Rhinolophus ferrumequinum: one gene and its partner. The protein of the gene in region 2 purifies or fractionates together with the protein of the main gene of each other region. This does not show direct contact. Links are inferred from orthologs where the notes say so. Each region holds a gene or a part of one and is shown on either strand. Other genes may lie near its edges.

Region 1 (7,791 bases), on a different chromosome or scaffold from region 2:
GCCCCAAATCAAGGGCACTAATCCATCTGTTCTGGTCCTACTGGCACTACCCTAACTCAGAAGCTCTCCGTCCTCACTTGGGGTTAATGCTTTCCTAGCTAGTCTCCTCTCAGTTCAAAGCACCTGCCGCACCACCCGGCTCTTTCCGAAACGCCACGGGACTCCTTACGAGAATCCCCCGTCCTCCTTCCTCCGCGCAGGACGCAGGGACGCCCCAGGCAAACTCTCACAGCCTTTCCGATCTCCTCTTCCCCCTCTCCCCCCACCCAGCAGGCCCCTCCACGCAGCACCACCGTCCTCCGGAGCCACTACTTCCAACCCCACCCGTCATTTGGCCAATTTGTATTTTTCTTCCCATCTCACATTCGGAATCTGTCCTCAGGGCACTCGGCACCAGCTAACCTAACCTGCGGCATTCCTCCACTTCCGGCCTCCCTCCACACTGTGAGCTCCTAAAGGAGCGACTGTCTCTATCTCCATATCACCAGCTACTAATTAGCACATCACCTGCCATTCAGTTGGGTCTCTACAGACCATGTTTAAGACCATGTTTTCACAATCTTAATATGCTAACCATCTGACATTTAACACTTTCCTGTACTTTCATTTACGATGTTACTAACACTTCTTTATTACATAAAGTTCCGGTTTCTTACCATATTCCGCGTGTTTTCCGATTATACAAATCCTACATTTTATTGAACCTTTTACTTTTCTATTTCTGGTATTCTTTGTACACCATTATTTTGAGACAGTTTATAGCCCCACATGAAAAGCTACATATTGACTTACCTGTTTTTCACATATGAAACACGCTTAAGAACGTACAATTTTTAAGTCACCGTGGGCAAGGTTTTATTTACTGTGGCATAGTGAAGATATTACGTGCCCCTCCCCACCCCCCCAGTGGCATTTCCTTGCTGGAGACAATCACTGTCCTGACTCCCATGCTTATCCTTTTCCCTTTACCAGGTCCACGGTGCTTTGGGAAGACACTGCCAGGCAAGGGGAGGTCACCGGCCAGGGTCTTCCACAGCCCTGGGGAACACAGGGCAAAGGGCGCCAGGCCCACTGCAACATGAGGCTGCACTTAGACGGTGGCAGGAACCGGCTCTTCAGAGCACCTGCCCTCCCACGTGTACTAGTTCCCCACAATCTGAAATTTGCAATGCTTAGTATCATTGTATTCTTAGATACTTAGGACTCAGAACAATGAATCAATTTTCCCACTCCGACCTTGTTGCCAGTCCCTGAAATAGGTAAATCCAGAACTGTAATAAGATTGTGAGACTTGAGGATGTCGTTCCAATTTCCCGATGGGTTTCTCACTGAACTGTTACAATGTATTTTGAGGTAATGACTCTGATCGATGGCTAAAGGAAAAAGCCCTGGGTCCGTGCAGAGAGTCAAAGAACCAACTGCCCTTTTACACAACATTTTAAAAGGTTTATGTCAAATTTTCTGTTGTTCACACACTTTTAAAAAATGACTTTTGCAAGTACTCCTTATCAAACGCTTAATATGTAGTCTTAATGAGCTGTTTGAAGAACGAAACAGCAATAAGCAACACCACAAAATTTCTAAGAAAACTACCTGGATCTACAAAGTTCAAGTTATGAGGCCATGCAATCCACCAGGCGTTAATTTTACCTTTTTAATGCTTTATTTTAATATTTTTAAGGAAAGAGCTGCACCAAATCTGACCACCGCCTAACTATTCCAGGACCGGGCTACTGCAAGTTTAGCAGGAGCCCCGCGGGCCCGGGTGAACACCGTGGATGAACCGTTTCGCGTCTGCCTAGTGAACGCAAGGGTCGCGGAGCAGGAGAGGTTCCGCCGGCCTCTCCGGGGAACCCCGCACGCCTCCTACCCGCCGGGTCGCGCGTCGCCCGCGAGCTTGACAGGCGCGTCCGCCCAGGGCGGCGCCGCCGGAGAGGGCGGCGGCCGGAAGGAAGAGGGAGGATTCGGACAAAGCGAAGCCCAGCGGGCGCCCCTCCCGGCGCCCCCGCTCCGCCGCGCCGCGTTCCCGGGGGCGGCCACAGCCCCCCGCGCGGCTCCGGAGCCGCAGCTGTTCCCGGAACGGCCACCACGCCCGCAGCGGGGCCGAGCCAGGGATGCTGGGGCGGGGCTGCGGGACCTCAGAGGGATGGGGACGAGGCGGACCCGGGCCTGGAGGGACGGCGGCTGGGGACGGGGATGGAAAGGAATGCACGCGGACGGGGACGGGGCCCGCGGCGGAAAGCGGCCCGAGGGGACACGGCTGAGGCCCGAGGCCCGCCGCACTCACCGTGCTGCTCCCGCGGGCCGCGCGCTCGCGCTGTCAGCACCGGAGGCCACGGGCGCGTGCGCGGACCGGGAGAGCGCGGGGTGCGCTGCCTCGGCCGCCTCAGGCGCGGCGCCGCGGTCACGAGCGAGGGGCGCCGGCGCTGCCGCCCCGCAGCATCCTCGGCCGCCCGCGCGCGCTGTCCCCTCGGCTCCCTCGCGCAGCAGCCGTCCCGCGCCCCGCCGGCTCTGGCCCCGCCGCCGAAAATGGCGTCTCGGCGTCCCTCCCCCAGCTCGCGCCCCGCCCCACAATGCCGCGCGCCGCCGTGACGTCACCCGGCCCGCCGCCGCGGGTGGGCAGAGGGGCGAGGCGCCGGTCGGTGGCGGCCTCCCCTCGAGGGGGAAGGACTGCGGCGGGAGCACGGGCCGGCCCTGCCTCCCCTGCGCGGCCGCTCCCGCTCTCACAGCTCGGGAATAACGTGCGCTGTGTGCCGAGCCCTGTCTTCACGCGTCCTGTGCCCCTTTGAGTCTTTCCAGAACGCCGGGAGGGCTTCCTCCCGCCCTCTAAGGAAGGATCCCGAGGGGCTCGGCAAAGCCCAGGGGCCCCTCTCCCTCCTCCAAGAGCCTGGCCCCCCAGAATCAAAGCTCTGCGGACTTCCCAGGCCCTCCCCTCAGCACGAGGGCATGAACTGCACCTCAGGCGGGTAGGAGGGGAAGGGACGGCCGCCTGACCGCTGGTGCCTGGCCGAGCAGAGATGCCACCCACTGCTGTCCCACCCGACAGCAGCCATCGCCAGTGGCCACGACCTCCCGCCCGGCCTGAAGGGCAGTGCTTCCAGGTCAGAGAGCGCTGCCGGGCCTCATCCTGCTGCCGCCAGCTCTGCAGGCCTGACTCAGCAGCCAGCCAGGGGGACGTGCTGATTCAGTGGGCAGGGCTCAGCTTTCTTTGGCTGCCCCAGCTTGGGAGAACCCCCTCCTCCAGGTGCCTGCCGAGGTCTTCAGTGCAGGGCCCCACGGCATTATTAACCAGAGGGGTTCCTGAGCCAGTCCGCCACCCCCGACTTCCTTTTGAACGACTGTCCTCTTCAGATGTTATCACCCCGCACCCGCAGCAGGTTTAACCCTGCCATTACGCAGTGACCGGGAAGTAAGCACCGGGAGGTCCAGTTACTTTGCTTTCATTTAAAAATGCAAAGGTCTGCGAAAAAGGGAAGCTCTGCGGTGACACAGCGTTACTGGGCCCAGGGAGAGGCAGTGAATCAGAGTCAGCCCCTCCACACTCCCTTAGTGATCCCGCCACACCCCAGTTTGGATGTCACCTGCTCCCCACAACCACCTGGAGGCTGCGCACAGCAGCTGTCACCAAAGTGCTCTGGGGAAGAGCAGAGCGGGCTGCACGAGGCTCCTTTCTGCCTCTGTGACTCTGGGCTCAGCAACTGTCCCCAAGCTATTAAATTGGTGCAAAAGTAATTGCGGTTTTTGCAAATTCTTCTTTAACCTTTTTAACCACAGTTGTACTTTTGCACCCATGGGTGGCCAAGAGTCTACCTCACTAATATTGCTTTAGCCCACGCCGTCTGTCCCCATTGCTGCCACTCTATTTAGGCTTTATCTGGCTCTCTTATCCTCTCAACAAGTATTTATTTGTTGAGCTGCAGTGGTCCCCACGCTAAGAGCCAAGATTCGTTGGTAAACGGGCTAGTGAGATTCCTGCTCCTGCAGTGCCATGCAGAGAATGAAGGTAAGATGAAGTGACAGACGAGGCCAGGTGGACAGGGTGTGAACTGACAGCACTCCAGACACAACTCTCCAGGCAGGGGTGAGTCTGGAGAATTGGGGGAAACAAAGGCCAATTCATCCACTCTCTTCCGCCCCTCCGGGACCTGGAAACGCTGCCGTGTACCCATCCCCAGGTCTCACAGAGTCTAGCAAACGCCCACTCCAGCCGCCCGCCCGTGCTGCCCTGTGTGTCCTCAGTCACTTTCAGTCCTCTGATACTCACAGCAGCTCCAACAGCGGCACCACCATCCCCATTTCACAGATGCTGCCACTGAGGCCCTGCAAGTGCCAGGCTGCTTCCTGAGTCCCAGAGAGGGATCAACTCAGCTTTAGGTATCAAAATGCAGCATGGGTCAGGTGCTGAGGGGGAAGCTGTCGTCCCTCAGGGATCAGAGGACTCATGGAAGAGGGACAATCACACGGCAGGTGGGAGGGACCTGGGTAGGAAGTGCAGGAAGAAAAGCGCAGTGCCCCCACAAGGACGGAACAAACCACAGTCTCATTCGTCTCAAGTGGCAAGTGGAGGGATGCTGTCACTTGTTTAAAGCAGTCACCTTTTTACTGTCAATGTCCGTGGATGCGTTAGGGGCAGCCCTGTGGGAGACAAGGATGCTGGAATTTCCCTTGCATGCCGGGGGTGGGGGGTGGGGGGAGTGGTCTGCAGTCCAGTGGGTGGCCCCAGTCATGAGTTCCTGAAGAAGAGGGGAGGGGGGGAAGGGGAAAAGCAAGGGGGAGGAGGAAGGGAGGAGAGAAGCTAGGTCTGGTGCCTGCAGAACGCTTGCCCCTCCCAAACCCTCTCCCTCCCCCAGCCTGGGCACTGACCGGCCTGCCAAGGCTCACCAATGAGTGGCAGCTGCTCTGGGCCCAGAGAGGAGCCTGGCTTTAGGGCCAGTCTGGGCTCCTCCTGCCTCGCTCTGCACTGCAAGTCATGCCCTGTTTGGTATCTTGCTTCAGTTCTGAAAATGGCATTTATCAGAGGTCCAGGGTGAGCTGCCATCATTAAGCTCCACTGACTGCTCCCTCAGACAAAGGGGAAACAGCACCCCTCTGAGGTGGAAGAGGGGGGATGAGGAAGTGGGAGAGCTCCAGGGAGAAGCCCAGCCCTCCCTGTCTCTCTCACACATTTCTAGCTGCAGGGAATTGAGGCCTGGGTCCTGCTTGGTGAAGCTGGGCTCCAGCAGGACTGGCCAGAGTCCCCTGCATTCCTGCCTAGCCCCGCCCACAGGCCCACTGGGCCAGCCTGATCCCCAGACACAGCTGGGGCAGGCTGTCCAGTTCCAGGCTTCAACTGTAAGAGGGCCTGGAAGCTTTCCCTTTTGTGCTTCTGGGACCCCTGAGCTGCCATGTAAGAAGGCCAGCTCCTTGATGGAGAGCCCCGCCTTCCAGTGTCCCCTGGGGGCACCAGGCCTGAAGGAAGCCATCTTGAAGGGTCCAGCCCAGGTCACAGAGCCATCTGTGGACCCAGGATGTCTCCAGATGAGGACTGAGCTCAAGGGCAGGCAGGGAGGGACTGCAGTCTCTGCTGTAAAAAGAGCCATCTGGCTGTGTGTGTGTTTTGTACATTTAACACGGCGTGTTGAGCTCCAAATGTGGCCCTGGACCAGAGCCAGCTGCTAGGGATGGTACTACTCCCAGTGCCCAGGAGAATATTTCTTACTTCACGTCCTTGCAAGGAACCATGACATGTGTTAGAAAAAGTGCAGAGACTGGACCTGTTCCTGCGGTTATCTAAGCAGGGTGTGCCAGGAGCGGGGTGGGGGGGGGGGTGACAGCATCTGTGACTGAAACCATGTCAGTGTGGCTTGATAAACACTATGATGGAGATAAACAATGGGACCTGGGGGCCAGGTCTCAGGGACATGTCAGGGAAATCTGGTCTTCTGCATTGGAGATTTCCTCCCCCTCAATATTTTATTATGAAAACATTCAAACATACAGAAAAAAGTTGTGCAGTGAACACCCATGTACCCCCCTGAGACTCTGCAATGAATATTTTGCCCTATTTGCTTTATCACTTGTCTCTCCATTTCTCCAACCCTTTTTCTATCCACGAATCCATCTTTTTCTTTTCTCTACTTTTCTTTTCTTTTGGATGCATTTCAGAGTAAGTTGCAAACATCAGTCAGGTATCCCCAACCCTCCCCAGGGTACAATGAACTTACTTGCATCCAGTGCAGCAGGCGGGAGGTGAGAGAGGGTGAGAGTCAGCAAGGGGGCAGGGAATGAGGAGCCAGGGCAAGGAGAGTGTGAAACCAGGAGTGGGGAAGGGGACTTAAAGTGGCTGCATCAGATGCCATTTGAATGGACAGCTGGATGCATGGATGGATGGGAAGCTCCCAAGTAACCCCTCGTGGTGGGGTGGGGGGGGAGGTGTGTGTGCGGGCAGGTTGGTGGTAGGTGGCCAGGGGCATTTGTGCAGGAGTGGGGAGGGCATGCATGCATGCAGGGTCCTCACCATCAGCAATCGCCTGGCAGTGCAGGAGCCCCACTCTGGACCCTGCTCCAGCACATTGGGGACTCCAGGCTGCAGAGGGAGATTAGATGGGGGCGGGGGGTCACAACTCAGGTGGGCTGCTCAGACCCCATCATAGGGCTATGTTCCTGCCCCCATTACCCCCCATATACTGAAGCTCTGCACACACGTCACCCTTTCACCCCTAAACACTTTTAGCATGCGTATCACTAACGGAGTTGAGTATTTGTTTCTAGGGAAAACGTACGCAATGTGAAATGCACAGTTAGGCTACCATGGATGAGTCCTGACAAACACTTCCCCTTGTGTAACTACACCCCTGCAGCACGCTGGGCCCTGTGGCCACAGCACGTTGGCCACCCCTGATTCTCACCTGAGCCAGCCAATCCCAGAAGGGGGTGGACTTGTTCAAGGACAAGCTATGGGGCACCTGAGAACAGCAGATGGAGAGCTTCTTCCGGTTTTTACACAAAAATAGCCACGCAGGTGCCAGGTCTGTCCCACAGCAGCACAGGTTTCTCCTGGCCCCCGGCTGCAAGCCCCTCTATGGACAGGAGCCTGTCTGACGCCTGACCTCACGTCCCCAGGAGCTCCCTCCACAGAGCGTGACCTCCTCCGGCCTCCTACCACTTTCTCCAAGGTTGTTGGCTCCATCCAGTCAGGCCAGACTCCTGTCACAACTGCTCTGAGCCTTTGGGGGCACAGACCCCCCTTAATTCCTGTGGTATCTTCTGCCCCTCCTTGTTCCCACAGACCCCAAACCTGACTCAGGTTCTTGAATATGGTGGTTCTCAGTCAACGGAGGCTAAACTGAATGAATGAGTGAATGAATGAGGGAGGAAACCGTGGACACCCAGCTGCTGGATTTCACAGGTCCAGAAGGAATTCTGGTCTTCATCCGCCTACCCCTCCTAATTCTGCCTGCAGTGCCCGAACACTCCTGGATCCTGCCATGGTGGGGGCTCCATGTCCTGGGGCCTTCTTACCTTTGCCTCTGGCTGGCATGCTCAGACCTCAGCCTGGCTCCCTGTGTACCATGTTTCTCCAAAAATAAGACCTAACTGGAAAATAAGCCCTAGCATGATTTTTCAGGATGACATCCCCTGAACATAAGCCCTAATGCGTCTTTTGGAGCAAAAATTAAGACCCGATCTTATTTTTGGGGAAACACCGGTAGGAGCAGAAATGCCTGCTTGGTTCCACATATCACATCTTTGTACCTCATTGTCTAGAAGAAAGAGCCTCTCACCTCCCACCGTCAGTAAACTCCCCGGCTT
Region 2 (6,923 bases):
TTTAAATTTCGATTTAACTACAAGACTGTGTACAAACATTTAAAATAATTCAGTTTCAAATTCTGTATTGTAATTCCTTCTTAAACTCTTTATTTTGAATCAGGATCAAGATCCAGTAAAACAAATAAACCATGAAGATTTTACCTAGTGACGTTCTAATTTCACTTCTCCCAGCAGCCCTTACAAATTCCCAAACAACCTTTGAAAAGTAAAATAATTCATTTAAAAACTGAACAAAAATGAGACCTCAGAGTAATTAATGACTTACTATATGCAAAAGATTAGTTCCTGAAAATAATGAACTGAACATGTTGCCTTACATGTCTTAAGGCTTTGTCACTCATTTGTAATGTATTTTTGCTTATACATTTTTAAAAAAAGACTAAAACGCTTGCCAGTTTACATAAAGGCCAACTTAACTGTTCATCGCTGATTCACAGCTCAGTCATCTATCATTTCTAATATTATCATTTAAATTTATTTACATTACTAAGGAAACATAAGAAACTTATAACTTTATCCAAAGGAAACAACCTAGCACAAATGTGCTTCCTGTGGCAATTGTTTTCTTTTCACTCTTTCCTTGTATTTTATGTCATATTTGGGCGGTATCAGAAGGTTGTCTTCTAACCTAATCTTAACACATTTTGTGAATCCTAAATTCCAGCATTATAAAAATGCATCTTGGTAATTCTTTAAGATTTGAGTAAACACAAAAAAAATTTTTTGGAGAATTAAGACATTCTTAATACAAGTCTAAGGAAAACAGCTTTCATGTGTCAACCACTGTTGAGACTGAGGAATCACAAAAACTCTGAGAAACTAGTAGCCTCGCGTTTGCCAACTTACAACCCAGGCCTTACAAGCCTCCTCTGATTCCACGTAAAATACTCCTGTATTATCTGAAAGGAAAAGGAATCACTACTTCTGTGCTTAACTTCTTGGCCTCCCTATGATGTCATTTACAGCAGGATTATTTTCTTGTGGACTTGTTAACAAAGAACCAGCTTGACAGTCTTCACACAGCAGTAGCTAGCAGTTGTTAGTAACCTAATGGCTTGTTTGTCAAGAGCCTAACAAGCAACATGGAGCAACATTCATTTTCTAGACCTGAACTTTGGAAACTTTCACATAAAAACTCTAAAGAACTTTAGTCCTGTCTGATATGGCAATGCTTTTAATTATCACTGTCCCATCTCCTGTGACCCCTGTCCTATTTCCAAATTAAACTGTCCAAATAATATGCTAAATATGGAATGCCACTAAAAAAACTTAATATTAAAATTTCATGTCATGATAGCAATGTAGAAAAAAGTTCTGCCGCACAGCATTACCAACAAAGACTTAATTTTAGTTACAGTTCACTGTTCTGTATGCAGTATCTTAATACCCATTTTAATCTTCTTGAACGCAAAAAAAAAAAAAAAAAAAAAAAAACCACAACAACTTTACATTCTGGTCTCCCTGACAATGATTCAGCCAACTCTGATTATCTTATGTTTTATACTTCAAAAGGACAACATCTCACTATTCTCAGGATTACTAAAATCAACTTTTTCAAGGTAGACGTTAGTTGTAGAAGCAGAAATCTAATACTAACAAGAAATCTAGTTTTACTGGTTAAATTTTATCTGTTTTTAAAAGCTTGCTTTTATAATACTGTCTGATATACACACAAAAAATTAACTTTTTTTACCCAGACTGTTACCCGATAAAACCTAGTTAAGAGTGTGTTACTGCGATTTCAAAAAAAAACCTCACTATTTCTTTTTACTCGTATAGTCCTCTATTAATCTTTTTCAGTTGTTAACAAAAAGCAGATGGGTAAACATTTGAGGTACAGGTATATCTGTAGTTGGGTAGCTTTCTCTCCTGCCTCGGGGTTAAACAATATGGTTCAACTCGTAGCTATATGTTGCTACAAATCTAAGTATTTTTACTATTTAAGATACAATAGGGCTGATCTCATAGCTCAACGTTCCTAGCTGAACTTTAATCTTACATATTTTATGAATGGTAAATTGGGGGTAGTCCAAAACCCCAACAGCCATCAGCAACAGTAACTGCGCGCACACGCACACACACACACACACACACACAAACACAGGCAAATATACACTAAACTTGCTCCCCAGTTTCTCCAGCGCCCCAGGCGGGGGAGTGTCCCAGACTTAGACCAGGCGCCTCCGGTCTCCCGGCACCGAGGATCTGGGTGGGGGCGATCCAGGAACAAACGCGGAGCCGCGCAGTCTCCCTGCCCTGGGTTGTCCGAACCGGGAAACTCCACTCGGAAGGATTGGGGACACCACTGCTCCCTCTACATTCTGCACACCGCCACTTCCCTGAACTCCAGCCCAGCCAGGGCTGAAGGGGCGGTACTGGGGGAGGGAGTGGAGGTCACTTACCGCGATCATGACCGTGTCTTCTCCCTGAAACTTGGCGATGTATTTATCGCCGCGGTTCACTTCGGACTCGTTGAGAGGTCTGAAGCGACACATCACTTTGATGTTGCACTCGGCCGGGTCCGCCATCTTTCTCGTTGCCGGGGCCGGAGGCCGGGAGCCACTCCCCGCCGCTCAGTCTGGGAGGAAGCGGACCGGAACTGAGGGTATAGGGTCGCGAAGGCCGAGACAATCAGCAGTCCGCTGCGTCGCGCTTCTCCCGGCGGCGGCAGCCGGGAAACCGGGACTCGAAGAGCGGGAGCCGGCAGCCGTCGCCCTGAGGCTCACTTCCGATCCATCATGGCAGCCATGGCGGCGGCGGCACCGGGTGGAGCGTCCGCGGCTCCTCGGATTCTGACTCTCCGGCCTAGGCAGGCTGCCGGGTCTGGAGGGATTCTGAAGACCCGGAGTGCGGCCTCCTTCTCCCTTAGACAAAGCAGGCTGGGCCCACCGTCTCCCAGCCCAGCTATCTGCTAGCCGGCTACCCGGCTGCCACCCGGTCACTCCTAAGGCCGCAGACCCGCGACCGGGCGGTGGGATGGGCGGTGGGATGGGCGGTGCGTGAGGAGCACAGCGCAGGCGCGGAGGCCCGGCCGCCCCAGCGACCAATCCGTGCCCGCGCCCGCGCCGGGCTGTGCCGCCTCCCCGCCGCCGCTCTCCGCCGCTCGGTAGCAGAATCAAGTTACAGAGGCGGCTCCAATGCAAAAAGTACCTTTGGTCATCTGGCCACTGTTCCCACTACTGTCCCGCCGCAGAATTCCCCAAGGCAGATGCACTTAGCTTTCTTTTCTGTAGGGGACAATGGATTTGTTAAAACTATGTTGTCGTTTGTTTAAATAAAATACTATATTCCAATAGGGAAGTGTTTGCTTTCTGTTTGGTCTGGAGATAACTGATTCCCAGCCCGCCTTTTTAGAGCGCTTTGACAGAAAAAGGAAGATTTGAATGAGGGTGTTGGGACATGGCTCTCTGCTTCAAGCAGTTGCTCCTTCTTGAGAGAGTGGGTTGGGGAGACAGGAATATGAAAGAAAAAGGAAATTTCTTCTAAGGAATGAAGAAGGTTGCTGAAGAAATGTAGAAAAATAGGGTGAGGTAGGAGAAGGCCCTCAATCTGTATTACAATCAATCTGTAATACACGTATGAAAATCATCAGTCTCAACACCAGAGGAATGATTGACCTAGGATGTAAAGATGCTTTCAAAGAGCCTGGATAAATTTGTGGATTACATATCGAAGGAAAACCACTCCACAGTTGATTTTGCCTCCTATTTTTAGAAGATGGATACTATAATGGCTCTTCACATGGAAGTCGCTCTTAAGTGCTGTGGAAGGAGAACTGCAAGATAATTAGGAATCCTTCCTCTGGTTACCAGTTTGTAAAAGGAAGGATTGGACTATGGAAACCTCCAATGCCCTCTTTCCTTGCCCAACCATCCTAAAACCTCCAGAAATGAATCTTTCAGGATTCAGATTTATTGATTCACTGCAGTGAAGGAGAGCTCACACCAGAGGAACTGTGGGGCATCTCCCCAAAGAAAAAGATACATGTAATGGCTTTGGGTGAAGTGTGGAGTTTAGGTAAAATTTCAATGAAGCTGTGATTTGATAGTGTTAAACAAAAAAACCACAAGTATAACTGCAGAACAGCTCAAACTGGCCTTATCCTGTTCCTAACAAGATGCTGAGTCGTTTCTCACCGACAATACAACAAAACTGCAAGTCATGCCGCCAAGCATACGCAGAGGAGAGAATTTTGACCAGTAACACCTGAAACCAAAGTTTCACCCGACCCCTCACAGAACCAAAGGACCAGACATGACTGGAACCGGAACACCGGAACCCTTTCAGAAGTAAAGAGCCCATTATCCAAGAAGATCCAGTGCTGACGCCCCTTACCATATCTTAGCATAAATGGCCAAGTTCCAAAGTTCTCCAGTTCAAACTTGCCCCACCAGAGCTTCTCTGTACACCAGTCTGTTTCTCTCAACCCCTTAAATATTGCTGTGAACCCTGGGTCAAGGAGACAGATTTGAGTTCTGCCTCCTGTCTTCTTGCATGTCGACCTTACAATAAAGCTTTTTTTTTTTTTCTTTTCTCAACATCTAGTGCCATAGTATTGACTTCTTTGCGTGTTGGGCAGTGAGCCCTTGCTCCATAACATAGAGTTAAAATGGTGTCACTAGTGCTAAAAGCCCAGGACACCAAACCTAGATTTAACACCTGATCGAATTGAAGTTTCAACCACTCCCAGAAACATAATCTTAATCTACCAGTATGGAATTTTCTGGTCAAATACCAGTAAGATAATCTGTCACATAGACCCTCTCCATTCCCCATAGAAAGAAGAGACAATGTACACAATAAAAACCTTTCCCCTTTTCTTTCCCCAAGGAAAAGATGTCTTGGCCCAAAACTAATCCTTTCTTTTCTTTCACTAATAGCTCCCTTGCCCCACCCTTCTTTCTATAAAAACCTTCCATTTTGTACAACTCATCTGAGCGCCCTCCCTTTCAGTTGCTAAATGCGATGCTGCCCGATTCGTGAATTGCTTAATAAAGCCAATTAGATCTTCAAATTTACTTCGGTGAATTTTGGTTTTTAACAATAGACTCCAAACAAAGCAGAGCTGGGACATCAGGTCTGGACTACAAGTGGCCTGAAGGTCCTGTTTCCTTGGGAACTACAAAGTTAAGGTAGATAGGAAATGTTGTCTTCAGAAACCCATCCTGAAGCTCTGCACCCAGCTTGAAAATCAATCAAGGTTGCTTTTGTATGATTTAGATCAGGGGTGTCAAAACTGTGGCCCGCGGGCGAACTGCGGTCTGCAATCCATTGTTAATTGGCCCGCAGCAAATTCCAAAAATATATTTAGTTTACTTAAATAAACCAGGTGAGGCAATACGTACTTCACCTCGAGTGAGTGGCCCGGCTGTTTGTGTATTTTACTGCATACGGCCCTTGGTGAAAAACAACGAAAAAAGTTTCTACACCCCTGATTTAGAGGCTCCAGGCAAGTGTGGGATGTTTTATTCTTACTGATATAATTTCAAAGTTTTTTGATAGTCCATGATTTTAGAAAACAAAGCTTTCAGTGAGTAAGGAAGCAGTAGTCACACAAAGAAGGAGACTGTGGCATGTAGCCACCAATTTTCAACCTCTGCAGCAGGATCTCAGGAAGGCTCTGCCCTCAGCCCTCTGCTCTTTTCTCTCCGAACTCACTTCAACAATTGCTGGAATCTCTTATCTACAACTCTGACCTTTTCACTTGTGTGACGCTCCCATCTCTCCAGCTGCTTATAGGCCACCTCGTTTACGATGCTCTACCTGTGGATGGGGAAAAAGGGGTTCTATGGAAAGTAACCTCACAAGGGGATCTGATCATAAAATCCTAACTGGGCAGCTCATGGTGGGTAGTCATGCCCCAGGCCTATAACCTTTCTTATTTATTTATTTTTTTTGATTGGGGAATATTGGGGAACAGTGTGGTTTTTTCCAGGACCCATCAGATCCAAGTCAAGTTGTCGTTTTCAATCTAGTTGTGGAGGGCACAGCTCACTGGCCCATGTGGGAATCAAACAGGCCACCTGGGTGTTAAGAGCACTGCACTCTAACCAACTGAGCCAACCAGCTGCCCCAGGCCCATAACTTATGTAGTGAAAGTTTTTAAGCCAGCCCTGTCTATTCTTGTACATCTAAGTTAACATACCTTTGAAATACCAGAAGTAATATCCCTCAAAGGGGATATTAACACCCAAATGTACATAATCTTGTTAAATATCCTATAATCCAATTCTTGCCTTGCTTTCTCCAGTCTTCCTTACATCCTGTCCTTAATTCCAAACACATAAAAGAAGCTGCAAAACTGTTATTCTCTGGAACATTTGAGATCTTGTTCCCCGGGCATATGTCATCAGCTTGGCTCAAATAAATTACAAAACTTCTCCACAGGTTTGGATTTCTTACATCGATAACCTTAACCTCAAATTTAGCATTTTAGAGATGAAATTAATTATCCCCTATTCCCTACCAATGCTTAATTCCTCTACTCAACTTTCTCGTTTTGATGATCAGAATCAGCCTTCTTTCATACTCCCGGACTAAAAAAGTTACAATCACCTGTAACTCCACTATTTCCTGCATCCCCTATACATGCAAAAGAGAAACATGGTTGTCTGCATTTGAATTTCTCAGCTTCCACCCCACCATTCTCGTTTGTTCCCCAACTCATAAGATCTGAGGAATGATGGATTTTCAAATTCTACTCCATGGAGCAGAGGTTTGAAAGAGGTGACTCAGGAGATGTCATGGGTGTGGGGAGAGAAAGGAGGTGGATGTGAGTGAAGCTCTGGGAACCCCTGCTGCTCAAGGCACTTTGGTAGGCTTTCAACTCTTGTTTCTTCTTTTCTCCTGCTTAACAGATTCTGGAAGTTAAGACTTCACGAAAACAAAATCCAGAAAGGGAAGTGTCTGCAAGAGCCTTC

The links. Proteins that work in one complex are often made in the same cells at the same time.
Region 1: the proteins of KIF5B (region 2) and KLC1 purify together in Homo sapiens (co-immunoprecipitation; 11 studies listed by BioGRID and IntAct, counting the BioPlex papers as one, with this or other methods). This does not show direct contact. The link is inferred for Rhinolophus ferrumequinum from reciprocal best matches to the Homo sapiens genes KIF5B and KLC1.

Annotation. Positions count from the first base shown.
Region 1 is NC_046289.1:1,653,354-1,661,144, forward strand, and holds the start of KLC1 (kinesin light chain 1), read right to left. Parts: upstream 3,044-7,791; 5' UTR 2,958-3,043; intron 2,485-2,957; exon of another isoform or gene 2,288-2,484; intron 1-2,287. UniProt on the Homo sapiens protein: Kinesin is a microtubule-associated force-producing protein that may play a role in organelle transport. The light chain may function in coupling of cargo to the heavy chain or in the modulation of its ATPase activity.
Region 2 is NC_046288.1:3,502,650-3,509,572, forward strand, and holds the start of KIF5B (kinesin-1 heavy chain), read right to left. Parts: upstream 3,004-6,923; 5' UTR 2,532-3,003; coding exon 2,406-2,531; intron 1-2,405. UniProt on the Homo sapiens protein: Microtubule-dependent motor required for normal distribution of mitochondria and lysosomes. Can induce formation of neurite-like membrane protrusions in non-neuronal cells in a ZFYVE27-dependent manner.